Linked DNA regions of Drosophila melanogaster. The protein of the gene in region 1 purifies or fractionates together with the protein of each later gene. This does not show direct contact. Each region holds a gene or a part of one and is shown on either strand. Other genes may lie near its edges.

Region 1 (7,433 bases):
CGGTTTGGGTTCAGTAGCTGCCTTTTGCTTGGCTAGGGCAGCCTCCCTCTTTTGGCGCTCCTTCTTTTCCTTCTTTTTCTGGGCTGCCGACTTCACAGTGCTGCCGCCCTCCTCGTCATCGCTGGCCTCATCCTCTCCGGCGTTTTCTGCCACTGCAGCCTGCTTGGCCTGCTTCTTGTTCTTTTTTTTCTTGGAGAACTCATCGGCCAATTCTTCGGGGGAAACAACAGTAGTGGCAGCAGGAGCAGCCTCGCCGGCGTATTCCGCTTGAAGCTCAGCTAAAACCTTGTCCAGATCTTCATCGTCGTCGTCCTTCCCCTTGCGTTTGGCCTTTTTGCCCTTCTTTTCGTTCTTCTGTGGCTTGGAGACCACTACCTTTTCCTCCTTCTCAGACTGGCTTTCCTGGGCAGCTGGCTCGTCCTGCTCGTCGTCGTCCATTAGCAGCTCAAAAGCCGACTTCTTAGAAGCTTTGCCCTTGGCGGGCACCACCTCCTCCTCATCGGAGTCGTCATTTTTGCCTGCTTTGCCTTTTCCCTTGACATTAAGCTTCTTGACCCCCTTGGTCACGGCTTTAACATCGTCATCGCCAGCTTGATTGCCCTTCAGGGCATGATTCTGCTTGTTGTTGAGGCTCAACTGGTCGCTGTCCACATCGGAGCTGTAAGATTGAATAATTTGCGATAGAAAGTTTGCCAAGTTGGCAGGTGGGCATGAACTTGCACAAGACTCACATTTCGTCCACCGAGGAACCGCCTTCGACCTTGGTCAGTATCTCTTTCTTGCCCTTTTTAGCTTTAACCATCTTCCCGTTTGCGACTGCAACACGCTCCTCCTCTGGCCGAAAACAAAAAGCCGTGGGTTATTCACCGCTGAAAGATACGCACACGCGACGCCTCGGCAGCCAAGAAAAAGAGGAGGACTGTCCACTGGGTTCTCCTGGTGCTGGTGATCTTCTGATGGTGACTCCGCTTCGGTGGCTCCAGCGACGACGTCCTGCTCCGGAATTGTGCAATCGACGGCTAGATCTGACACGGCGCTTTGCCAATTTTTGGTTTTATTTAGCCGAGGAAATTCTGCACACAAGCACGTTGTCGAGTAGTACGGTGCGGGAGGGTTGGACAGGCAGTGTGACCGTGCGAGTGGATTGCTGAAAATCACAATGGCTGAGCTAAGGTTATCGATTATACCCTGTAATATCCAGTTGAGCGGGGTATTTTTGTTTTGAGTCTATAGTTGTACATAAAGATATATTAAATATATATACACCTTTTTCAATAGAATCGCGGCCTCGGCGCTGGCGTGCGCTGTTTACGGGAACCATTTATCGCCTCTGGTGCTCAGTTTCTTACTCATCAGACATAGGGCAGTTGGTTTTATTGGTTTTCCTAATTGGTAAATTATTTCAACTGCGAAAAGTATTGAACATACTCTTAAATAATATCGATCACTAGGGTATTTATGGAGAAAGAAACCATCTATGGACTTTTTTACACATATACTCGAAAAACTTTCCGGATTGCGGAAAGATATTTGGCATATTTTGGAATTTGATTGCTTATTTCTTAAATGTAAGTGACAGATAACTAACAGGTACTCTTGAAAAAAAGATAAAAGAATAAGAACAAGTTCTTCGTGTGTATTATTTTTGTGAGGAGGTAAATTCCAAAAACAAAAACTTAAATGTGGACTGCCGATATTTTATATACTTTCTTGAGTTCTTTACTTTACATTTTTGTTTCATTTTATTTTTGAGAACTTTTTTTAAATAAGGAAAATATAAATACATAAGCAACTTCCTCACGTTTCATATTCCACCGCTTTAATTTGACACACTTTAAGAAAATACCACAGCCAAGGATATTTTCTACGCCGCTAAGTCCGGTCACACTTAAAAGTTCGCCAAGACGCTTTGTGCTCAAAATTTTGCTCGAGAGTTTTTTCGAATACTATGACTATTTCCCATTGAACTCTTAAAACTCAAAGTGCAGTGCATCTACTAATTCAACAGCGTTAAGAATATTTGTAAGTACGAGTACAAATAGCAAATCCGGCTGTGCATTTGCAAAAAGCCGGTAAGGAACTCACATATTTGGTCCACAGCTTGATAACCAAGGTAAATCCGCGTGATTGGACAATGTCCAGCGAAGCATCCGGAAGTATAACCATCAAAGAAGAAGCATCTACAAGCGGTACGGCCACCAATATTCCCGTTGAATCCAGTGAAACAGAGGTATGAGTTTGTTGTTGTTGCCATCCTTGTTTTGGCGTGGTAGAAGGAGACGAAAGCAGTGCAGGAGTAACTGTTGCTGTCGCTTTTCTTGAGACTTTCGTTTGCTTTTTCTCCATTCAAACTGTTGCTTTTTTGCAGTTATTTTAACAGCCTAGACTAAAAAACAAATCACTATTGAATTCAAGAACCCTAACACAAAGTTTTTAATTTTCCGTTACAAAACATACAGAAAATGTATACAAATGTTAATTTTTTTATTTTATATATGCTCTTATAAATACATTTAAATTTATAAATAAATATTCTCTAAATATTTCAAAAATTGTCCGTAGAAGTAAAACAACAAAATGTTGTTAAATGAAAATTGTAGGATATTTAAGCCTTCGGTGTCATAGAAGGTAACATTGTATGTTCTCAAATGTTTACAATACAGATGGTCCACATTTCCAGGCTAAGAAACCCGAGATCGGAGCTGACAAGGCGGAATCGCAGAGCGAAACCACCGAGGGCGGGAAGGCGGCGGAGACGACGGAGAACCACTTGAAGCGTCTGCAGAATCTGCGCAAGGAATTGAGCTATCTCAGCGAAACCGACTGGATGTACGAGAGTCTCGACAAGAAAGCAGCGCAGTAGGAACGGCAGAGCATTTATCGGCGAAACATTTTCAAAAATGTTCACATACGTTAGCAAGTTTTTCACGAACCCGGATCGTAACCGGGAGGATATTCTGGAAAGTTTGGATCGGGAGAATAGCTTTTTAGACCAAAAACTAATGGAGGAGAAGATGGATCAACAGCTTAAGGCGAATCCAAACGAAATTAATGGGGTTTTAAGTAACAAGATCGCTGAGCTTACGCATGGACTTTCGGAAATGGACGTGAGTAAAGAAAGTTCCTGCACCGCCAGAAAGGGAGTGATCACCAGTCTAGACGGCGATCGGGGAGTCATCGACAAAGACGTTTTATTCGAAACGAAGGTGGCAGAGGATATCATCTTGGATCTACACGTCGGATGTGTAGTGGAATATTTGACTTTTACAACGGGGGAAGCCATGCGGGTGGTCAAGGTGAAGAGTATCCTTGAGCATTCCTGGGAGGACACAAGCCAAAAGGAGGTAAGCTCATCGGTATTAGATTTATTAGCCATTTGTTAAAGCCAATGCTTAATATCTGTAATCCTAACTTCTATTAGATTGAAAAAGCTGTAGACAACCTGAAGAACGAAAAGCCGACATTCTTTAACACCGAAACAAGGAGCGTTTTGGGTCTGATTAGCCAGCGTCTGGCATCTTCCATAGACGTCGAAACGGAATACGGACAGCTGACCGTCGAGCTAGACAATATCGAGATGAACTTCATCCCAACGAATGGAGATCGAGTGCGCCTAGAGTGCAACATTCAGCTGGATGACGGTTTCGTGGACAAACAGGGAGAAATCCTAGAGGTGACAAAGTTGTTTCCCACCCGCATTCAGGAAGGTGAAAAGTGCATTGTGGAGCGCGTGTACGTGCACATGGTTGTGCTGGGTCCGGAAACCTACATTTTAAAGACAGACTTGCCTACAGGCACGGATCTTCATCTGGGCGACATTGTGCTCGCCGATCTCATCGAGTGCCAGTATGTAAGTTAAAGAAGGAACATAAAATCTTGCGATTTTCTTCTTTATACGTGTGTTTTAATTCCCCAGTCCAAATTTACGAGACGCGCCATTAAGATTACTCCGCTGGAGAAAAATTTTGGGGCTACCAAGCTGACTCAGCAGAGCAGTATGGGATCATCCGGCAGTGGAAAAGCAGTGACGGTGACTGGTGTAAATCGTTTCATCACCGCAGAGCTCTGGCAAAAGGAGAGCGTATCTTTAAAGCTGACCAACAATCTAAACCGCACTTTGCGCCTGGAGAGCATCACCGTCTGCAATGACAGTGAGTCTCAGTTGAGCGTGGTCAGCCCTCTCGAATCAAAGGAAATATCCAGCGGCTCCGAAATAACGGTGACCTTTGAGATCCATACGCAGTTCCTGGGGGAAGCAATCGAAAAGTACGTGCTGAATTTCGATCTACTCAAGGTGAGGCGCGTCTTCACGGTGATCGTGTGCAAAACCAAGGAGGAAGTCGCTGAAGCTGAGAAACGTATGATAGCAGCTGAAGCTTTGATGGCACCCGGTCGTAACAGCCAGGAGAGGTCCCGGTTCTATGCCAACCAAGTTTGGTGCAACAAGGTGGATGTAATCCCGGGACAACAAATTGTTACCAAGCGCAGATTTGTTGCTCTGCGTTTGGGTTGCTTTGAAGTAAGGAGTCCTCTCATTAAAAAATATGCTTATTTTTAATACTACCGTTCTTTTAAGGTGCCCAAAGAATTGCGCCAAATTTGTTTGACTAGTGAACGGCGACAAGAGATGATCAAGGCCATCGAGCAGCACTATTCATTCCTCACGGAACCCCTAAGCATTAAAACCTATATGCACCGTTTCAGATTGCTCCTACACCTCGAGGAGATCGAGTGCTTCGTCAACTTTCGCAACTACGACAGAGACCGAGCACACTTTCTGCGTGACGGAGAGTTCCTCACGCTGCAGATCGAGAATCTAGCCGAGCGTCGACCGTCGCTGGTCATTGGCGATACACTGCGAGTCATTAATCCCTGGTCGGATCCCGATTCCCAGACCACCAAGTCATACGAGGGCATTATCCATAAGGTGCTCTTCGATCGCATTTTACTCAAATTCCATTCCAGTTTCCAGGAGAAATATAATGGCGAGGACTATCGACTAGAGTTCTATTTCTCACGCTACAGTTTTCGCAAGCAACACCATGCCATCTCCAAAATTGTAGGAGTAATGGGCGAGGATTTCTTGTTTCCCAGCAAAGTAACCAAGCGCGAGAATCCCCAGCTGGATGTTTATATGAAGGATGACGACATGTACTTGTACGATTCGAAATTAGAGTGGTATAATCAGTCGCTTAATTCCATCCAAAAACGTGCTGTTTTCAATATACTGCGCGGTGAAGCGGAGAACATTCCTTATGTGCTGTTTGGGCCTCCGGGCAGTGGAAAAACAATGACACTTATTGAGACACTACTCCAGTTGGTTAGGAATCTGCCTGGTGCCCGAATCTTGGTGGGAACGCCGTCGAACAGCTCAGCGGATTTGGTGACAAAGAGGCTCATCGATAGCAAAGCTTTGCTCCAGGGAGATTTCATTCGCCTCGTTTCGTACAATCAAGTGGAGAAAGACTTGATTCCTCCGGAAATAATGAGCTACTGCGCCACAAGTGATGTCGGTGCTGTGGGCAGTTGCGAGGACAAAGTGAGTAGAAAAATTTTATCATTTGGATTGGACACCAATTAATCTTGGCTTTGTTGATATTTGCTATAGATGATGGTCACCGAATCGGGATTGAAGCTTCGCTGTCAAGCTAAGTTTATAGGTACTCATCGCATTACCATCTCCACCTGCACTACTTTGGGAAACTTTTTACAATTGGGGTTTCCAGCGGGCCATTTCACTCACGTGCTGTTCGATGAAGCTGGTCAATGCACCGAACCAGAAACAATGGTACCCATTGTAATGCTAACGAAGAAACGCTCTCAAGTTGTTCTCTCAGGTGATCCTCGCCAGCTGCAGTCTATTGTCACCAGTCGAATTGCCTCGAAAATGGGATTTTCCATATCCTTTCTGGAGAGATTGCTGGAACGGTCGCCGTATCGAAAAGATCTTCAGCGATTTCCCGAAAGCTCCGGCTACAATCCACTAGTGCTAACCAAATTGTTGTACAATTACCGAGCATTACCGTCGATTATGAGCATTTATAGCAGGCTATTCTACGATGACGAACTGATCCCAGTTCTTTCCGAAAAGGATTCAAGGGAATCTCGCCTACTAAGTAAACTGCGGTGTGTATTTGAGTCAGAAAAGGATATCCCTCAAGCGCACGGCACGTTCTTTTACGGAATCATTGGCGAAAACAGGCAAAATAACGATTCCCCTTCCTGGTTCAATCCCCAAGAGGTCAGGGAGGTGTTCCTAATGACCATCGCCCTGTACCGTGCCAATGTGACTGCCGATCAGATCGGTATAATCACGCCCTATCAGAAGCAGGTGAAGATGCTTCGGAGTATGTTCATTGGCACCGACGTGGTCATGCCGAAGATTGGATCCGTCGAGGAGTTTCAGGGACAGGTGGGGTCGGAACTAAAATCGATATTACGTGCACACTTAACGTTTGTTATTTCCAGGAACGAGACATTATACTAATATCCACGGTGCGTTCATCAGAAGAGATCCTGCGCATGGATGCCCGCTTCTCCTTGGGATTCGTGCGTTGCAGCAAGCGACTTAACGTGGCCGTTTCCCGAGCACGTGCCATGATGATCATCTTCGGGAATCCCCATCTTCTGGCCGTCGACGAATGCTGGCGCCAGCTAATCCTGTTCTGTGTCAAAAATAACGCCTATTTTGGCTGTGATCTGCCTCAAATGGTGATAAATCAGAAAGATGAGGTCCCCGTTTGCTTGGAAACATTCGTGCCTTCACTGAATACTACAGATGATTTGAACTAAGCACATATGACAGTTTATTATTAAATTAAAACACTTGTTATTGATGAATTAAAGTAACACAATTAATCATTAAACTTGTTTTAAATATTTGTACATATGTGCTAATTTTAGCGAATGGTAACACTCCCAAGCGCAGTCTGGGAACGCTGCTCGTTTGGCTTCGCAGTGTGGTAGCACTGGCCGGAACCGTTGTAGCGCCATGTTTGCGCTCCTTTTGTTTTCTCCTTCATTTGTTTTGCTTTTTTCCGCCGTTAAGTTCTTGCCTTAAAATCGGTGATTTAAGGCATTGCATTCAATTTCGATACAATGGAGCAGAAAGTGGCTGCCGAGCAGAACATCTTCGTCGTCGACCGCAAATTGAAGAAAACTTGCCCGCAAGCAGATGTCGAGGTGAACGGACATGTGCTTAACTTTTGCGAACCCGACTTTATTTCGTTAAATACCAATTTGTAGCGCCTGGCTAAGACGCACTGGCTCACCGACTATGCCCGGGATATATTTTTGACCATGAGGGAGCAAGAACTCAGCCGTCGGCCTTTGTTTTACCTTTCGCCGCAGCTGAACGAGCGCCGAAGAATGCTGCAGTTGCTCAAACTGGCGACCAGCGCCCACAAGCTTAGTCGCTGTGCTTTGCACCTGGG
Region 2 (6,078 bases), on another chromosome or scaffold:
CTCCTCGCGCAGCAGCAGGGGACGCCGCTCGCAGATCGGACAGAACACATAGATGGTGGTCGCGCCGGACTCCATTTGATGGCGATGCTCGATGATACCGCCGCCGGCAGACCTCAATCCCAATGGCTCGCGCACAGCAATGGCGTGCGCTTTGAACTGATGCTTCTGGCGGCATTTGCCGCAACAGAAGACACGCTTGCAAATGTGGCACTTGCCCTGGAAATCAAGGTGGAGTCACTACGGATGGAACGTTTGGATGCGTTTGGAGCCTACCTCGTCGGGCTGTCGCATGATTAGGACATTGGAAAACGACATTAAATGCGCAAGTTGCGAACTTAACACACATGGACATACACCTTTGCACGGAAATGAAACGGTTCTTTGGCTAGATATGGCAGCTAATCTCTCAACTAGATCTAGGAGATCTAGACTAGGTATATCGATTGTTAGCTATGAACATGTAACAAACGAAAGCACTCAGTACACTTAAAAAAAAAACTCTTGAGCGCATGCCCTTTATTTCACTTTCAAGTTCAAGTTTAAGAATAGCACATGGCAAGATCTTAGCTTGCTCAAATATTTTGAATCCGATGATGTCGAACGATTAAAGCTCACGTTCGATTATCATTAATATTTGTAAAACAATATTTTGAAAAATATTTATATAAATGCGTTTAAATGTAATAGGAAATTGAATTGGTTTTCCGAAGAAGCTGGTTTCTTTCGCAAGAGAATGCTGGCCAGTGGTCAGTGGACAGTGATGAAACTAGAAGCTACATATATGGACAGTCCTTGGAGCTCATCACCATCGCATCGAGCTTGAGCTGGCAGCACTCATCCTGATGCGAGCGAAAGCGATTGATGACGAAGCTGAGCAGGTCGTTGCCCTCGTCGTCGTATATGTTGCGAACGAAGATCGTGCGATGGATGGCGGACTGGACGACGGCGTGGAATTGGCGATTCCGCTTGTTATGCGTGCGACGAAAGAAATCCTTGCGCACCAAATTGCGGGCGTCATCGGGCCAGATGCGATCGAGGCTCTCGGGCTGCAGGCCAAGGATCCTCAAATCCATCGCTTCTCTGGGTGAATCCTGTGACAGAGAACAACAGTTTGCAGTGAATCCATACTACTATCATCTATCATCATGTATGGCCATACCTTGAAGATCTTATCGCAGCTGTACAGCTGGCTGGTTTTGTAGGAAAAACATTCGGTGGACGTGTCCAACAGTTGCACCAACACCATGACATTGCTTTCCACACTGACAATGTGCACCCGCTCGTAGCGGTTGATGTTCTTGACCACCGCCATCTCGCCGGGCACGGGATTGGGATGCATGTGCCGGTTCGCCTCCAGTTCGTAGTGGCGCTGCACTCGCTCGCCCAGATCGCTCATCGGAAAGTTGAGGAAGCGGATCGCTGTGGGAAACTGGTCGCTCAAGCGCACAGCCAACGCAGCTGGGCTGTAGCACTAGAAAATGGAAAAGGATTTAGTGGTGAAGCCTTGTTAGCGATCATATCGAGAGTACTTACAACTAGAACCAAGAACCGAATCAATCCATTTTTGGGATAGTGATCTGGCGGCAGCACCTCGTCCCGCCACATCACATGGCGATACATGCACTTGTGCCTCAGGCAATCCCCGAAAGCGGCCATTTGGTGGCAGAGACTTCTGCTTGTCGGTTGCTCTTCCAGGCGTCGCTGCGAAAGGATTCCCAGCAAATGGCCGGGCCTGGGCAGCTTGTGCTTCATGTAAAAGTCGCACAGCTTCCAGATGTTCTCCAAATCAGTGGGCTTGGCAAAGACCACGGACTGGCCGACTGGGCGCGTCGTTGGCGATTTGAGGTTTGCGTAGAACAGGCTGAAGCGGTTCTTGAAGCGCGCCCACATGCTGGCAAAGCTGTAGTGGATGAGCAGCGGGATCTTTCCGCATTTCAGTCTCGGCACCACATCATCCGTGACCAGCAGCAGGCCACTCGGGGACTGGCGTAGCCACTCGGCGACATTGGAGTAGCACGCCTCCGATACGCAGATATGTGCATTCACCCCAATCGCTTGCAGACTACGGCGGAGTAGGAGTACCTCTGTCGAGTTGGAGCAGACCATAACGGCGGGCTCATTGGCAAAGTTCCTGCGCTCAGCGATCAGCGCCTTCAAATGCTCGATCTTCTCCGGCTCATCCGCCACGACTCTCACGTCCAGCTGGACGCCGCCATAGACACTCGCCTCCAAGGCGTCGTCGAAGAGAACGAGGACGTCGGGCATCAGAGGCAGAATGTGCTGCACCATTAGATCGGTGTGCCAAATGCGGCCGGAGACGAGCAGTTGGCACTTATTTTGGGTGAGCTGGAACATTTCGGGCAATCGTTGCAGCAGCTTCATCGTGTCGTTTGGCAGGACACGAACCATGTCGTTCAGGTTATCCAAGGCTATGCACTTCACCGCCTGGGCATCGAAAATGCTCCCGACCGGGTTATGGTTCAGCAGTTGGAGCAACAAGTCCACGCTGGTTAGCAGGATTCCAACGGGCTTTTTGAGCCGGCGAACGATGTCCACCAATTGGGTCTTGTCCCAGTGGGTAACGACATCCTCAAACCCCGACGCACTGCCCAGCAAACAGAGCAACGTGCTCATCCAGCGTTCGATCTGTTTGCCCTGCCCCTGGTTGGGACACACAAAGATGCAGGTAGGTCCACGGCCAACATCTGGCCGTCGCTGCAGATCCTCGTGGCTGCGCTGGCACACGGTGGGCAGGTAGGACCACGTCTTCCCGATCTGTAAGTTGCCCACAACTAAAACGGATTTACCCAACGAGACATGTGGCCAGGCGAATCTCTGGACCGCCCGCGCTCGCGACCTAGCCACACCCATCTGCTGCATGGCCCGCCTGATGATGGTGCTTATGTCCGGCGCTTCGGTCAAACCGTAGCACGGCACGACCGCGTGGCGACTCCAGCCGAGAACGCCATAGTTGTTGTAAGTTATTCCCCCTGCAGAAAAGGGAACCACTGCTAGAGAGGCAGGTGAATCCTTCACAGTTCGAATGGAATCCAGCGAAGTGGTGTCGATCTGATGTCGATAATCAGAAGCGGAGGCACTGGACACCGGTTCTTCAATGCTAACAGAGGGAGGAGGCGGCAAGTTCATGTTTTTGAATACGTTTTGCACCTTAAACGACTTTACGAGCTCTTGAAACTCGGCGTCCAAAGACTTCGTTGGATTTTCAGTAACGAAAGGAGAGTAGACAGGAGCATTGAACTTAGCAGCAGCTGGAGAGGATTCGTCCACTGCCGCCGAATCAGTGCTGCCCAACTCAAAAGAAGCCAGGAGCTTTACTGTAGCATCCTCCACGCTTAAATTTATCTCTTGCTCCTTATTGTCGTTTGGGATTGTCGCTGGAGTTGCAGCACTTAGCAGGACATCCGCCTCCGCCTTGTAATCCTCCGATGATGTCGGCGGCGTATTCTCCTTTATTTCATAAAGCTGCATGGAATTTAGGGCATCTACTTTGAGTGGCATTCTTTGCTGGACGATCTCCGGTTCGGTCTCTCCCTTGCCTTCTTTTTCATTCTCTTCGTCGCACGGAGTTATGACCAACATCTCGGCGTTTCTCGCCGATATGCTCAGCCACTTCAAACGCTCCTCGAACTTGTTCAGTTCCGGCAGCGTTGTGTGGATCACCAGGTTCGCCTCGACTACTCCAAGATGCTCGAGCATGCCATCGCAGAGAATTAGAGCTTGGTTGATGTACTGGAAAGAGGATAAATAACCTCCGCTGATGTAATGTTAGTGATCCGATTCAAACTCACCCCCTTGGACCAGAGGAGCAGCACTTGACCGACCATTGCCCCATGCGGGGGCAGGAGAATAGTGTTGACATCCCGCTCGGCGAGCTCAAATTTCAGACGCTCGGCCTCGAAATTCTGCTGACATATCAGAATAGTTTTTTCTGTGTTCGCCTCCCTTTTCCGCAGGGTGTGCGCGAGAAAGTCGAGGGAGGCTGCTCCGGATTTCGGACTGGCGTACGTGAAGGTGGTTCCCCCGGACACCACCTTGAAGCTGGGCACTTGCAGATCTCCAATTGGCTCCATGCTGCGCCTAATATATGTACGGCTAGCAAGGTCACGTGCAGCGCTTTGCCAAGTAAATAAACAAATCGCGTACTAATGGCTTTTTTATCGCCTTCCACTTGAGCAGAGAGAAACTCCTTTTGGTTTGAAAATTTTAAACCAACTGAATTCTTTCGACACTTAAGCTTCAAGTTCGATTACTACTCAATATCGATAATCATCGAACCACTCTGATCGTCTGGCAACTCTTGTTCACGCACCTTATGACATTACAAGCTGAGCCTGCGTGCGCCACCTTATCAATGTGCTGCCACCTTGCATCGCACGAAATTCGCTAGTTTTATTGAATTTTGTTATTGAAGAAATACCCTAGCAACAATTCGAGAGTGTTGCCAGCCAAAGGGGGGGCCGACATGCTGGACAACGACACCAGCAACAACAACAACTGCAACCCACAGAATCTGCCACTGGACGAACTCAAGTTTGCACTTTCCGGCAAGGATGGGGTGCGCAGGAACGTTCCGGCGCTGGTAAGTGGACATGTTGGTGCACCTCCGGCGAGATAGTACTATGCATATGTGTTTTTTTTTTTTGTGGACAGGACGAGCACTGGGTGCAGCGCGAGAAGCCCTTTGCCAGCTATTTGTGCATGTTGAGCTCCTATGGACGCCTAAAATCCGGAGCTGCACTGGAGGAATGGACCTTCGCGGCGAACAATTTCCGTGGGGACATGGAGTTCCTGCTGAGCCTGACGCAGCACGAGTAAGCTACATCGTGTTGCGCTCAGTATACCGAAGACATTAACACTTGATCCCCGCCAGATTCTGGTCCTACATGGTGTACGATGAATCGGCCATGGCGGCCGTTGTCACATTCCTGCAGCGCGCTAATCCCTACTACAGACAGACAGATGTCAGCCGGGACAAGGAGTTGGACCAGGCCCATCTGCTGTACGGACAGCTGCTCGATCTCGTCGTGCGTCTGATAATGCGACTGTGCACCGGTAAGGAATCGGACTCGGAGTGGATTAGCCCGAAGCAACACGGCAGCCTGCTGTACAGCAACTACCTGATCTCTGTGCCACTGCTCTTTGATCTGCTCATCGCTGTTGGCGATGCGGAGCCGGAGAACGTGGAACTGTTGCGCCAGATCTTCGACAAGGTGCTGGAAGTGCAGCCGGAGTACCAAAAGGATCTGAAGGAGGCGCTGATCTTCTACGAGAGCGCTTTCCTCAGCATGCAGATCCAGGTGGAGAACGAGGGCTGCGAAGGTGCTGGCGGCGGGGCGTCTCTGGACGTCGACTTGGAGACGCCCTACGACGATGTGGTGCTCTTCGCCATGGACTGCGCATACACGCTGCGCCTGCTGCTGCTCCTCTGTCCCCAGCTATTGGAAACCATCGAACAGCTGCGTTTGGCCCCAAGGTTATTATCATCATCATCATCATCAGCATCCGTGGTCTGTGTGATTCTATTGCCTTCCCTTTCGTATTCGCAGCATTGCCAATTTCTATGACATGACTGTGCCCATGTTGTACAAGAACATCTACTTGGTGAACCCGGGTGCGAGTTCGCTGCGCTGGCTAAATGAGACGCGCCAGCAATATATCTTCATCGTTCGTCGCGTGGTCAGCCTGCAGATGGAGTCGGGACGGGGACAGCAGCTGGTGGAAGTGATGCAGGAGTGCCTTTCCGCCCAGAACTTCGTTGTGGACTACCAGCGGCAGTTTCCGCTGGAGCACGACATGAAGCTGCTGATCCAACGTTGCCCAAATATGTGAGTTGTCTGCCTTGCTTAGTGGCCAATGTTATTCTTATTCGCAATCTCTGCATCGCTAGCAAGAACTACGAGGTGGACTTCGTGGTGTCCGGTTATCAGAAGGCACTGGCCAGCTGCCCCAACGGCATAATGGCCGACGATATGGCCAGTAACGGTGTCCAAGTTACGGGGAACGTCCAGGACGAGGAATTCAAGAACGGCGACTCCTCGCGCACTTCTCCACAGCCGT

What was found.
Region 2: the proteins of armi (region 1) and fs(1)Yb purify together in Drosophila melanogaster (affinity purification with western blotting; 6 studies listed by BioGRID, with this or other methods). This does not show direct contact.

What each region holds. Positions count from the first base shown.
Region 1 is NT_037436.4:3,459,441-3,466,873, forward strand, and holds armi (armitage), read left to right. Parts: upstream 1-1,876; 5' UTR 1,877-2,022; intron 2,023-2,100; 5' UTR 2,101-2,134; coding exon of another isoform or gene 2,135-2,230; intron 2,231-2,663; exon of another isoform or gene 2,664-2,680; coding exon of another isoform or gene 2,681-2,863; 5' UTR 2,864-2,900; coding exon 2,901-3,344; intron 3,345-3,421; coding exon 3,422-3,850; intron 3,851-3,916; coding exon 3,917-4,519; intron 4,520-4,576; coding exon 4,577-5,539; intron 5,540-5,608; coding exon 5,609-6,412; intron 6,413-6,468; coding exon 6,469-6,792; 3' UTR 6,793-6,874; downstream 6,875-7,433. Other genes in the region: eIF5B (eukaryotic translation initiation factor 5B), read right to left, coding at 1-658, 732-802; CG46463 (uncharacterized protein), read left to right, coding at 2,135-2,230, 2,681-2,863; CycJ (cyclin J), read left to right, coding at 7,099-7,182, 7,246-7,432. UniProt on the Drosophila melanogaster protein: Probable RNA helicase required for axial polarization of the oocyte during early and mid oogenesis. Plays a central role in RNA interference (RNAi) process, a process that mediates mRNA destruction of translational repression.
Region 2 is NC_004354.4:2,718,581-2,724,658, reverse strand, and holds fs(1)Yb (female sterile (1) Yb), read right to left. Parts: upstream 4,192-6,078; 5' UTR 4,092-4,191; coding exon 3,810-4,091; intron 3,751-3,809; coding exon 1,534-3,750; intron 1,472-1,533; coding exon 1,160-1,471; intron 1,092-1,159; coding exon 774-1,091; 3' UTR 501-773; downstream 1-500. Other genes in the region: fs(1)Ya (female sterile (1) young arrest), read right to left, coding at 1-216, 274-315; CG2701 (uncharacterized protein), read left to right, coding at 4,484-4,600, 4,672-4,832, 4,892-5,494, 5,568-5,846, 5,909-6,078.